Linked DNA regions of Mytilus edulis. Each later gene encodes a partner of the first gene's protein in a complex. Links are inferred from orthologs where the notes say so. Each region holds a gene or a part of one and is shown in the gene's direction. Other genes may lie near its edges.

What was found.
Region 2: DNA polymerase epsilon subunit 4-like (region 1) and DNA polymerase epsilon subunit 3-like share a complex: the UniProt entries of both Drosophila melanogaster proteins name them as parts of the DNA polymerase epsilon complex. The link is inferred for Mytilus edulis from reciprocal best matches to the Drosophila melanogaster genes PolE4 and Chrac-14.

The regions. Positions count from the first base shown.
Region 1 is NC_092346.1:1,157,907-1,163,246, forward strand, and holds DNA polymerase epsilon subunit 4-like, read left to right. Parts: upstream 1-3,956; 5' UTR 3,957-3,984; coding exon 3,985-4,521; 3' UTR 4,522-4,660; downstream 4,661-5,340. Other genes in the region: lysophosphatidylserine lipase ABHD12-like, read right to left, coding at 358-488, 3,691-3,692. UniProt on the Drosophila melanogaster protein: Accessory component of the DNA polymerase epsilon complex. Participates in DNA repair and in chromosomal DNA replication. Has a role in cell cycle progression. Required for wing morphogenesis.
Region 2 is NC_092345.1:43,553,182-43,560,811, reverse strand, and holds the start of DNA polymerase epsilon subunit 3-like, read left to right. Parts: upstream 1-4,565; 5' UTR 4,566-4,724; exon of another isoform or gene 4,725-4,750; intron 4,751-7,630. UniProt on the Drosophila melanogaster protein: Accessory component of the DNA polymerase epsilon complex. Participates in DNA repair and in chromosomal DNA replication. Histone-like protein which promotes nucleosome sliding of ATP-dependent nucleosome remodeling complexes.

The DNA.
Region 1 (5,340 bases):
GGGTGTCAATTTACATTTTTTTGGTACTTTACAAATACAGTAGAATCGGTATATTTAGAGCATGTAGAGGCTATAATTTCATAATCATTATGTCATAAAACCCTTATATACAGTTATCAAAGCCTTTATCATCATGATCATGACAGATTATTGCAAATTCCAATGTAAAATTTTTCGACAGCTTACATTTGGAAGTGGAATTGCAGAAGAATGAAAAATACCAAAAATCTACATTATGGATAATTTTGAAATAAAATTCACTATCAAACCTAAAATACAATTTATAATTTTAATTTTCAGATTACTTGCAAGTTTGGTTATATTCTATGTACAAATATCTAGTTTCACAATACTCACAGAAATGTAAGAAGAGTATTTTAGAGAAGATCCAAGGATTTGTCTTGACCAGTACTGGCACCACTACATAAAGGACAAATAGAATAGCAGAGAATGTCTTTGCTGCTGAGGTTAACCATGGCACATAAAACCTGAAATAAACATACATGTAACAGACATTAGCATGATTAGAGAATGTCTTTACTGCAAAATTCAACAATGATACTTAAACCCTTAAAAACATAAAAGAGGGACGAAAGATACCAAAGGAACAGTCAAACTCATAAATATCTAAAATAAACTGACAACGCCATGGCTAAAAATGAAAAAGACAAACAATAGTACACATGACACAACATAGAAAACTAAAGAATAAACAACCCGAACCCCACCAAAACCTTGGGGTGTTCTCAGGTGCTCTGGAAGGGTAAGCAGATCCTGCTCCACATGTGGCACCAGTCATGTTGCTTATGTGATAACAAATCTGGTAAATAATCTAATTCGGTAGGTCACATTCATGAAAGGGAAGGGGATTGTAGTTACGACGTTATGGCATCTGTAAAATTTATGAAGGGATAATTTCAACTTCACCATTTAGAACTCTTGGTTTAATAGCTTCCTTGTGAGCAGCAACCATCTATCCAGAAAATCATGATAGGAAATGCAAGCACGTTCAAATAAACATGTTCCAGAAACCATTTAAATTTATATTTTGAAAAACTGTTTAGATGGGGACTTCAATGTTTGCCTTACAGGTAAATATTACATAACAACTCCATTTCAGGAAAATGTAGGCATTTCCATGCACAATCTTCAGTATTGTCATGTTCATGATGCTGTACAAAGCATGTTCCATTGAGATAGTCTCGTAATAGTACATATGTATCGTGGATGGATTATTTGCATTTGTGTTAGGTAGCTATAGAGTTTTAAAAGTTTCCTATTTTGACCAGGGTAAAATTCTGAATATAAAAATTATTGTATACATGTCCCATAATCATGATAATATCAAATTTTGGTGCATGACGATATACATGTAATAATAAAGTTATTTGAGTCTAAGACCTTTGTCAAATCACAATTAGAATATTTTGATGAATGATGGTAAAATTTCAACCAATTTGACGCTAACAGTAGCCAAAAATTACTGTTTGACGCCTAACGATATGTGAAGGGATTGCTTCCCTTAGAACATTTAGTAGATACTTAGTCAGCCATAAGCCGTTGAGCTAAGGAATTACTTCTCTAGCTCAGTCCGTTAACACCCTGCCTTATAGCTTTTAACACAGAGGTCCCGGGTTGGAGACCTGTTGAAGACATGCGATTCTGCAAGTAGAATCATGCTCTCCACTAAGATTGGCGCCCAACAATAAAATCCCACAATTAGAAGAAAAACATAGCCAGGTTAAAATATAAATATAAAAAAGATGAAGATATCATTATAGAGTATTTTAATGGGGGGAAGTGTACATGTGATGGGATTGCTTCCTTCAGAACATTTAGTAGATACTAAGTCAGCCATAAGTGCACATGGTTGAGCTAAGGAAGTACTTCTTTAGCTCAGTTGGTTAACACGCTGCCTTGTAACATACATTGTAGAGGTCAAGGATTCGAGTCCCAGTGGAGGCATGCGACTTTGAAAGGAATCCCGGTCCGTTCGCACCCTACATGTTCGTGCCCAATTTTAATTGGTTTTTTTTTTTGTAATCATGCAAGTTTTGGCAAGAGTATTCTTCTTGTCATTGTCTTAAAATAAAGTGAGACAGCATTTTATCTTTGTGTTGAACAAATCTAAATCATGTTTTGGATAGTGTATTGTTAAAAAAAAATATAATCCTTTCTATAAATAAAGTGGGATTCTGTCAACATTTTATTTTATATTGAATAACTCTTAATCATGTTTTAGTTACTGTATTACTATAACTTTGTTTTATAACTTGTTTCAAAACAACTAAATGAGATTCTGACTACGTTTTTTTTTTTTGTGTGTTGAATAATAAGTTTTATCATGTTTTGGTTATAATCAGATAATAGTGTATACGTATTGCTTTATCTTATTGTTTAATTGTTTCAGATCAAAGTGAACAAGCTGTCAAAAACAATTATCTTTTGTGTTTTTCATTCAAAATCTTCAGTGTTTTACTCATACCAAGCTATAAATACATTCAATATTTACACCAAAGCAATTTAAAACAACAATCATAATTTCTAATTATTCAACTGGAATTTGAATTAAAATTGGGCGCGAACATGTAGAGTGCGAACGGACCTTGGGTGCGAACCTGCGCTTTCGGGTCGATCCGGCCCAACGTCGATCCGGCCCATATGTAAAGTCGATCCGGCCCCAATAAAAAAAAAAAATTTCTAAGGAATAAAAATAAATATATATTAATTGTAATTCATAAATGTTTATTATTTTTATTATAATGTTAAAGGTGTACGGTAATAAAAGTAAAAAAGGCCTTTGAAAAATATTTTTCATTAGATGAGTATAAAACAACTAGGTTGATTATGTCTTTATTACAAGTTTTCAAGATTATTGGGTATAATTATATTAAAACAGTGAATTCAGACATCAACATTAATCAGCAGTAATTAGCATTTTCTTTCAATTGACTGTGATCCTAACAAGTCTTTCATCTTGTGTAACATATAATAACAAATAGTTACATACATGAACGGTACAAGCCGATCCCCAAGCTGATACATATAAATTTGTTTTTCTTTTTAAGTTCTTAAAATTTCTAAAATTGAGAAATGTTGTTGCATCATCGATCGGACACTTTTTTCAAATTCCATTTATACTGTTAAAGTTTGTGACAAAATCTAGTTAATTCATATTTTATTATGGGCCGGATCGACTTGGGGACGGATCGACGTGGGCCGGATCGACTTGGGCCGGATTGACTTTGGGCCGGATTGACTTGGGGCCGGATCGGTTTGGGGCCGGAACGACTGGATACCCGAACCTGCGAGGTGCAAACGTGTAGGGTGCGAAAGTGTATTGGGCGTGAACGGACCTGATACCTGTTACCCTTTGAAAGAAGAATCATGCTCTCCAGTTACAGGTATAAGGCATTACTATCCTCATTCATGAACATTAAGCCTAATTTACTTGAAAACAAGGGAAAGAGGGTGGTTCAAAATTGTGTCAATATTGATTTTTTTTCCTATTTAATAAACTGTGTATTGTCACCAATGACAATGGCACGAGTATTCAACATTAGCATAGTAGCAGATGGTAGCAGTCCAAATGTTTTCGGCTTGAAAAAGAAAGATAAAATATAACAAATACAGTGTTACAGCATATAAAACTTTCTTAGTCTAAAGAGTCTTGCTATTTAAAATCCTTACATTTTGACGTTCCAGATTTTGAAACGGGAAGATCGGAAATGATGTTAATTTTTTACGAAGTCGGAAAAACTAAGGAAATCCGGTTTATAAACATGATATAGCTTTACACTTTAATGATGAAAAAAGACACTTGAAAAACCAATTACCATATTCCGGCAACCTCATTACATTATCAATTATTATTTAAATAGAAATAATCTATAAATTACCATAAATTTAGCCTTTCAAGTAGAAGTTTAAACAATCGAAGTAAATTGCAGAGTTGGTCCGGATTTGATTCTCAAATTCTATAAAATGGCGGGAGAAGGAGAAACTGTGGAAATCATAACAGAAACAATATCACAAAAAGATGAGACAGACATAAGTCATTTAAAGAACAGTGATGAAAATAAAACAACAAACTTAGAAAATGAATCTATATCAGAAAAAGAAGAATCAGATACTATTCCTGCAATCGAGAATGGCACTCATGAAGAAACTGAAACACATGAAGATCAAGAAGAAACATTAGAACAAAGCTCTAGCACACAAGATCAAACTGAACCTTCAGGGACTAGTGAATCTAAGTCACCTAATTCAAATGAACGTTTAATGAGACTGCCGTTATCCCGCATTAAGGTGATAATGAAAACCGATCCTGATGTTACTTTGGCGAGCCAGGAAGCAGTTGTCGCACTTTGTAAAGCAACAGAACTTTTCATCGGAGCAATTTCTAAAGACGCAGTTGTAACCACATTAAACAGTAAACGAAAAACATTACAAAGAAAAGACCTTGATGTAGTGCTCGATTCAAGAGATGGCTATGCCTTTTTAGAAGGAACATTAGATTGACAAGTTATTGTACATATAGAGAAATTATAGGAGAATTATATGAACTGACAAGTTGACAACGCAGTTTAATTCCATGAATCTGTGAAGGACAGTACAAAGACGATTTGCGTGATTAATGAATGGGCATTTAGCAAACAGCTATGAGTATCAATTCAATATTCATTAAAGCTAAAATTTGTACATCTTCTGAACATGCTCATGATGCTGAAAAGTCCAAAATAAAAATGTGTGTGCATGTGTTACTAATTGAAATTTAAGTTTATACATTTGTAACAAGGTTCATGTGCTGTAATATAAATAATATCTATACTTTAACTGTATTTTTTTTTAATATATGTACTGCAACTGTGGTTTTGGTGGTAGGTGCTTGTCTCAAGAGTGAGTTTAATTCCCAAACAAAGACTTGTAAAAAATGGTACATTTCCTGCTTCTTTGCTTTATAGCATCATGAGCATACAGTAGTTAAAAATGATGTTAAGAACAAGTATGAAATAGGGTATGATTGCCAATAACTGTTCACCAGAGACCAAATGACAAAGTAAATACATGTAACAACTAAACAAGTTACAACTATAGGTCACTGTATGGTGCCCTCAACAATTAGCAAAACTGATACTGTATAGTCAACTATTGTAAAACAATGAAAATAACAGATTGATTAATGTTCAAAACATTGAAAAGATTTATTTTTTATATAATACAGCAACAAGTTAACCAATGAATTACAAGCTCCCTACAGAATGTGGCAGGGTAAAACATGTTTGCAGGTGCCCAACCCTCCCCTAACCTAAGACAGTGGTATAACATCACAATATATTA
Region 2 (7,630 bases), on another chromosome or scaffold:
TCAGTCAATATAGTACACTGGATATGTAGGATGGCTTGTTTCGAAGCTAAGACATTTTCACATATATGTGGTTAAATTTTCGGAATACGAAGTGCGATTTTTTTTCACACAACAATTTCTTTGAAAATTTAAAACTTTGAATACATTAAAAAACTTCATAGTTTTTACATATTTATACTATGATCCTCTACTTTCCAGATCAACACAAATGGTAAAGCTCAGTCACTTGTTAAAAATGAAACATGTTCAATATCACTACAGAGACAATTTTTGTTTACACACAACTTTTGTGTTCCTCATTTGATGGCGCATTAGTTCCTCATTTGGAGGTGCATTAGGAATATTGACCCAGCTGGTCTTGTGTTGGTTTCAGATCTCTGAAAAAAAAATCATAAATTATAAAATACAAAAAAATAAATTGATCCCAACTTATGAATTACAGCAGTTCTTAAAAATTATCCTGTGTTTACACATAATCAATATTTTTTCTATTGCTGGTCTTATAATAAACTGCAGATTCATAATTATTTTATATTGTTACTGAGATGTTTGTATCTTTGCCAATTATACACATTTTGATGATGTACATGTATGTTAGAAATTTAACACAATTTCAACAGTATATAATTATTCATAACTTATGATTAACCTTCGTTCTTATTTAAAAAATAAATTTGTTGTTAAATTGAACATGTGTTAATGAAATTATGTCTGTTCCAGAAAATACTATGTCCGCCCCTAAGGGACAGCCCTAAGCCCTTTTTAAAAAAAAAAATTCCAGCACCGACAGAATTAAAAATTAATAAGAACAACACTTCCTTTGCATTTTGGTATTTCATACACAACCACCCCCAAATAAAATTTAAGAAAAGAGCTTTCCCTGGGGGAGAGGGGACATAATATTTTCTGGAGCAACCAGTGGTTATTCTACAAATAATTAATAAAGGAAGTTTGGTTTCACAATATTGTCATTTTTCAATTAATTTAAGATATGCAAAGGATTCTACCTTAATAAATTTAGCATGTACATCGATACAACAAGACCTCATATCATATGCCAATGAACGCAATCTATAAAATCAACAAAATATAATTTGATAAATGAAATTAATATAAGAAGAATGTGTCCATGAGCCACAAATGATCTTATCAAACTTAATTTAAAGGACATATCTAGAGAACAGTAAAGCAGATGCTCTCCAAATTCAAACTCTGCATTTTATGATAATAAGCGTTGTGTATTGGTTGCATAACATGTGGTTTAGGCAAACGTTAGATAACAAAATCCAATTTTGAGTTCAATGTACATGTATGTACGTACAGTACAAGAGTTAAACTATATCACTCAGTTAAGGAGGACAGAAAAAGAGCTGATCAACTGATGTTTACCTTTTTAAAATCTTGGTCCAAATTCTTGAGCTGGTGCATGCTTAACTGTTACATGGTTACTGCAATGATTTCCTCAACCTCAGACACATTGGATCTGTGGATTTATATACAAGACTCTGGAAAAATAAATAAAAATACGTTCAATTATCTTTTATATTCTTCTGTCTGTTTCATATAAAAAAGAAGATGTGGTATGATTGCCAATGAGATAACTCTTTACAAGAGACCAAAATGACACAGAAATTAACATTTATAGGTAACCGTACTGCCTTCAACAATGAGCAAAGCCCATACCGCATAGCCAGCTATGAAAGGCCCGAAATGACAATGTGAAACAATTCAAACGAGAAAATTCACCGCCTTATTTATATAAAAAAAAATGTTAGTCCAACAAATCTTTAGGAGAACAAAGTGACAAATTTAAATGCATTCCAAAATTCATATGTTTTATGATTGATTACAACATGGTTTCTGATCACATATTTAGTGATTGTACATGTAGCTCGTCATTGATAAACATGTAGATTTCATATTATAATAAAATTGACGGTACTAATTTTCTTGCACCAGATGCGCATTTCGACAATACATGTCTCTTCAGTGATGCTCGTGGCCAAAATATTTGAAATCCAAAGTTTATATAAAAGATGAAGAGCTATAATCCAAAAGGTCCAAAAAGTATTCTCTCTACGAGAGAAGCTCTACTGTGATAGTCGAGTTGACATATTTATAGACCCTCATTGATAGGATTTCAACCTCCTGTGGTGAAAGGAATCAGAGCTTTGCATGAGGGAGATTCATTCCTTAATTTATAATAATTTCTAATATATTGTTAAATTGTACAGCAAAAAAGATGTCCCTATGTACTGTTTTAACACCTGTAAACTGGGTTTTACCCTGAAAACAAGAAAATTTTACCCAACTTTCAAGGCTAGATCCTAGTCTAAATCATTATGACACTTTCAAGACTTGGAAGGCTGTTTTTTTATTTTTTTCTGGGACGCCTTCCTACAACGACCTAATCCTATTGCGACAACCGTGATGGCTATCTTAATTTTTTTCTGTGGCGCCTATATTTTACAACATCTTTATTGGCACAATTGTCTATTTCCATGTCAGACCCAGTGATACAATGATTGATCGTTTGTTGCTCAACATCCAGTGGCAAATATTTCATGCATGTTAGCGACGACCCCCAGTGATATATGCAGCATTATCATTAATAGGCCAGGTTGGTAATATGCCAAGTTTGAAATGTGCGGAGTTTGTAATGGACCCAAATATCTAAAGTGCTGAGATGTTTAGCTTCACATTTTCTGATATTGATAACATGGATAAGACTTTTATGCTTCAATGATTATCAAAAAATAACAGAGCAGACACTTGTAGCCTTAATATATAGGGATAGTAGCTCTTGTCACAGATAGAAAACAAGTACTTGTGGCTGTGCACCCCTCCCCCTTTTTTTTACTTTCTACAGTTTTTACTTATTTTTGGATCTCCTGAAACAACACAAGTTAATCACGAAATTTAAATAACACACATCATGGCTAAAATATCTTGTATCAGTGCAATATATTGACAGTATAAGAAAAAGTATCATATTTCAACACGATCACGTATAACCGACTTGAAAGAGGCGCCCAACACGGTAACAGCTGTTTTATTTTCATCAATCAAACTTGTTTTTATCATGGAGAACCTATTTGGTGTAATGTGCAATCATTATTTTACCTTTTTCTTTGTTCTGGAATCTGGATCAAGCTATATTTCCACTGCCTCACTGTTTTCAAAAATCAAGCGGCAACAGTGCGCATGCTCAGACTTTTCATAGGATGCAGCGGTAAAACCCGAGTACTGCTGAACGTTACACTAATCAAATCGTGAAAAACGATTATGAAATCCAAGTGATAAATGATGACAAAATTTTAATGATATAATAAACAATAAATATTCATATAAAATACATATATTAGAACATTAAAATTGGATTTGTAATATTTTCTTTGACATCTTGATGCAAATTATGTCTGCGGGAAAAAAGGGGGATTTTTTTTTTAAATCGATAAAATCGTAAATATATTCTAGTGAAGGTGAATGATTGATATATCCAGGAATACTCATTATGACATACCCCAAAAATTCGTCCCATAAAACCAGATTTTTACAATGTATTCACTACGTTCTTATAATCGGATTATGACAGTTATAAGCACGTTGTCACAACGTAATAAAATGTTACGTCCTGACAAGGTACTAAATTTACGTGAATCCGACGTAATTTCATAACGTCGTCTGTACGTCTGCATCCAACGTTGGATTTTTACGTTCCCACAACGTTGGTACGACGTAAACTCACGACATGACGTTCAGACGACCATTAACCGACGTCGGGAGTACGTCGTGTGTTTACTGGGTCGGTACTCAGAGTAGTTTTTGAGGTGAAAATACGGCCATATTTGTCCATTAACAATCATACAACTGGTACCATTCTTCATGTTCTTACAAATTTTGTTTTTCTATTTTGTGTCTTGTATCCCTGAATAATCATTATAGTCAAAAGAAATATAATGAAGAAATCACCGGTAGCATACAGCACATGTAATAAGAAAAACAAGACAAAATGGACCATGGCACTGTTTTTGTAAACTTATTGGAGCTGAAATTTTGACAAGGAAATGTTATAAGTTGAACTAGAAAATGCAATTAGTTAATTACTTTCACTTTACGTGCTATGGGTGTACCTTAAGCCCAATGAAGTGTTCGCTGTTTACCAAAATTAGGACAGTCGTAATTATGTACCGACCGAGCCTCTTGACAACTTTTCCAACTTCCGGTTATGGGAATGGTCTGCATAGAATAAATTAAAAACAAATGACACATTATGTGCATAAAGTGCTTATTAATGAAAATATGAAACATTAGTTTTAACGATCACTTCTATACATTGATCATTTTAAAGGAAAAATGGAACATTAAATTTTCTGCATATATGAAAATATATCTAAAGGACCGAAAATATAGCAAGAAATGAAATACCAATATATTTACTAATGATATTTGAAATCATTTAAATTCGAAATTAAGAAGGAAAGATATAATAACTGGATGGACTTGCATTAATCATTTATATAAATATTGACAGATATTTATCTTTATTTGATTGATCGTCTTTTCGGTTTTTAACAGCACCATGGCCAGTAGTAATTAAAATGGCGGGAAGCTTGGAAAACAAAGAAGGATACCAACATAAGTAAACGTCCTGCAACATTAACTCGACAAGAGACTTTCACATCAACTATCCTGTTTTCTTCATCTATTACATTTTGACAAATGTAAGATTGTACTGACGTCCGGGGCTGTTAGTGTTATTTTTTAACACAACTAAAAATTAAATTTAAAATTAATAAATTTTAAAATAAAAATCACAGGCACTTGTTTACTCGTAAATAAACGTTAATAGTGGGTCTTCCCATGGAGAGAAACAAGTGGCTGTGATAAAAATCTAGTTCAGCCGTAGTCGTTTCTACAATAATAGTCAATTCGGTCACAATATTCTAATGTTGTTATATATGCCTCCTTAACCTTATTTTATGATGGAGCTATTCGCCGTTTCAGAATCTAATGCATCCTGGGTAATATTTTCAAAAGCGTACACCAAAGCGTTTTGATTGGTTTAAAACGTCCTAAACAATCGAAATTCAACCAATGACGTAACGTTATTTTCACTTTGGGGTAAGAACAATACACCTTATCGCTAATCCCGGCTGACCCGCCCGCTTGAACTTTTGACGCATACAACAATTACTTTTCCATTGGGCCGTTTTTATTAAATAAGTTGGTTTACGGATCCGCCGACCCGAATTTTCGCTAATTCAAATAAAAATAAACGCACATTTGTCCTTAAAAATTATTTCCGCCGACCTCATATTTCTCGATTTACTAAGAAAATTTTAAACGGAATTTTTGTGTTTACGTTTCGTATTCTGGTTCCTATTACTGCATTAAAAAATCGTTAACCAGTGCACCGGAACGTGACTGGTAAGCTTTCCCCGACACCCAAAAGCGAAAACAAGTCGCCCTCTTCTTGACGATACTCGCTTTCAGTCGCTTCCGTCATCGGACATTTTCAATTTTTACCAAGTTGATGAAACATCATTTTTTTATTGATAATTAAAGAAATTAAGACATAAACGGTTCATTATCTTAAGAAAAGAGGCTGAAGCATTGTATTTGCAGTGTGTAGCAGTTTATTTGATAAAAAATACAACTTTTTATCACCTCGACCATTTTTGCAAGTTCCGGTGCTTGTTACTCGAAAACGTACATCAACCTAAATTTCGGCGGTAAAATAAGTTTGTTACTTCATTTAAACGTGATAAAAGTTGCCTCTAGTAAATGTTTAATCCATTTATTGCATTAAAAACGTCATGTTCCTTTCCAAATAACTTGTCAAACATCGTTTATTTTTGTAAATTTTCTTGCATTCGTCCGCCATTTACCGATTCCTAAAGTACGGATCTGAACCGGACCAGCTAAACCGAAATCCGTACTTTTACAATAATTATTACGGACGCACGGATGGAACAGCTGACAGACGAATATTGACCACAAAGGAAAAAATTACGTATTTCACATGCATTAAGAGACTTTTAGTTACATCTAATTGATTGGTGTATATAATTCCCTATATTTTTTATGTATTGAATTTGTTTCAAACTTTATTAAAGTTGCTTAACTCGGAGACTATTACACTAGCCAGGGCCGTAACTACATTGAGGCAAATGAGGCAAATGCCTCATCTTAGAAATTAAAAAAAAAAAAAAAAAAAATGAAACAAAAGATTGTCTTAATTTCAAATTGTTTTCACGGAAAGTGTCTAACAAGAAGCAAGTTCTCTTCACTCTCTGGTGTCGCCCCTGCATGTTTTTCGTGATCCATGTTTCTTTTTTACTTTTAGTTTTCAGAATTGATGGTCTGTTGTTTGAACTTCTGTGTCCCGGGTTTGTCTTTTGCTCATTTATTGTCCTACTTTATGACAATAGTCTGAGTGTTGATTTTCATTTGTAAACGTGTAGTTATGCAATGTTGCATGCCCACTGATGTCCAGATATTGTGCGAGAAAATATTTTAAAAATATACTAGACATAAAAAAAAAAAAAAAATGGTCGTTTCTGCATTGAGAATTGAATTTGATATCAGAGAATTCACAACTGGCTTCTTTTGGTTAATAAAACTAGATAGCTGGCATGGTTTAAATTAGAGTAAGGTCACCAATTTTACGGTATCAAATAATTTGAAAAAAAAGCAATAATGTATTGCCATATGACCATTTCCATTGATGTGTTAAACTTGCATTATCGTCATGTTCAGACCCTTTTACAGAAAATAAAGGAATATGGAGTAAATGTGCACGAAACCTAATCGCACACAAAGTCATTGCATAAAAAAAATACTAATGATCAATCATTTGGTCAAAGTTGCTGGAGGGTCTTCAACAATAAAAGAATCATTAATACCGTAAAACAGGGTCAAGATGGTCCCTAGTGTCGACTTAAGCAGTTCTAGTATTTAAAGCATAATACTGCACTGTCACTATATTCCAATCTAGTCATAAAAATGTCACCAAAGTCTAAGCACAATACAAGACTAAAACAGACAGACAGATCCGGTATTAATGATTAGGAGAATTACGAATTTTGCGTTGTCCATAAAACCTTAAAGACTAAAATTAAAATGAATCTATGTTTTTGCTTTCAGACCAGAATATTATCGAAAGAAAGCTAAAAATTAATTGCGTTTCAATGTCAGAAAGAGTCTGGGAAACGCTCAGAATGCACGATTTTGCGTTATTTTTCTCAGAGCTTCTGGGGGGCCTTGAGCGGTCCCAGTCCCCTCGCCAAATTTTTTTGCCTCGCTCCGCTCGGCGATATATTTTGCCTCACTATTTGAAGAGGCTAGTTACGGCCCTGCTAGCTAATATCAATATATTATGGCCCAGCTTAAATTATATATTTTTTGATGAGAGACACTGAATTTCATACTTAAGATAGTTTTGAATTAAATTGTAATTGATATATTATAATTTCTTTACATTTTTCAAAATAAAAAAAAATTTTTTTTAGTGCTAGATATTAAATATTTAGTTGGAAGTTTCTCACAAGAACCTAAGTAAAACTTTTAATTTGAAATGTTACTTTAATTGTATACTCAGATATGAATTGAACAATATAAAAAGAAC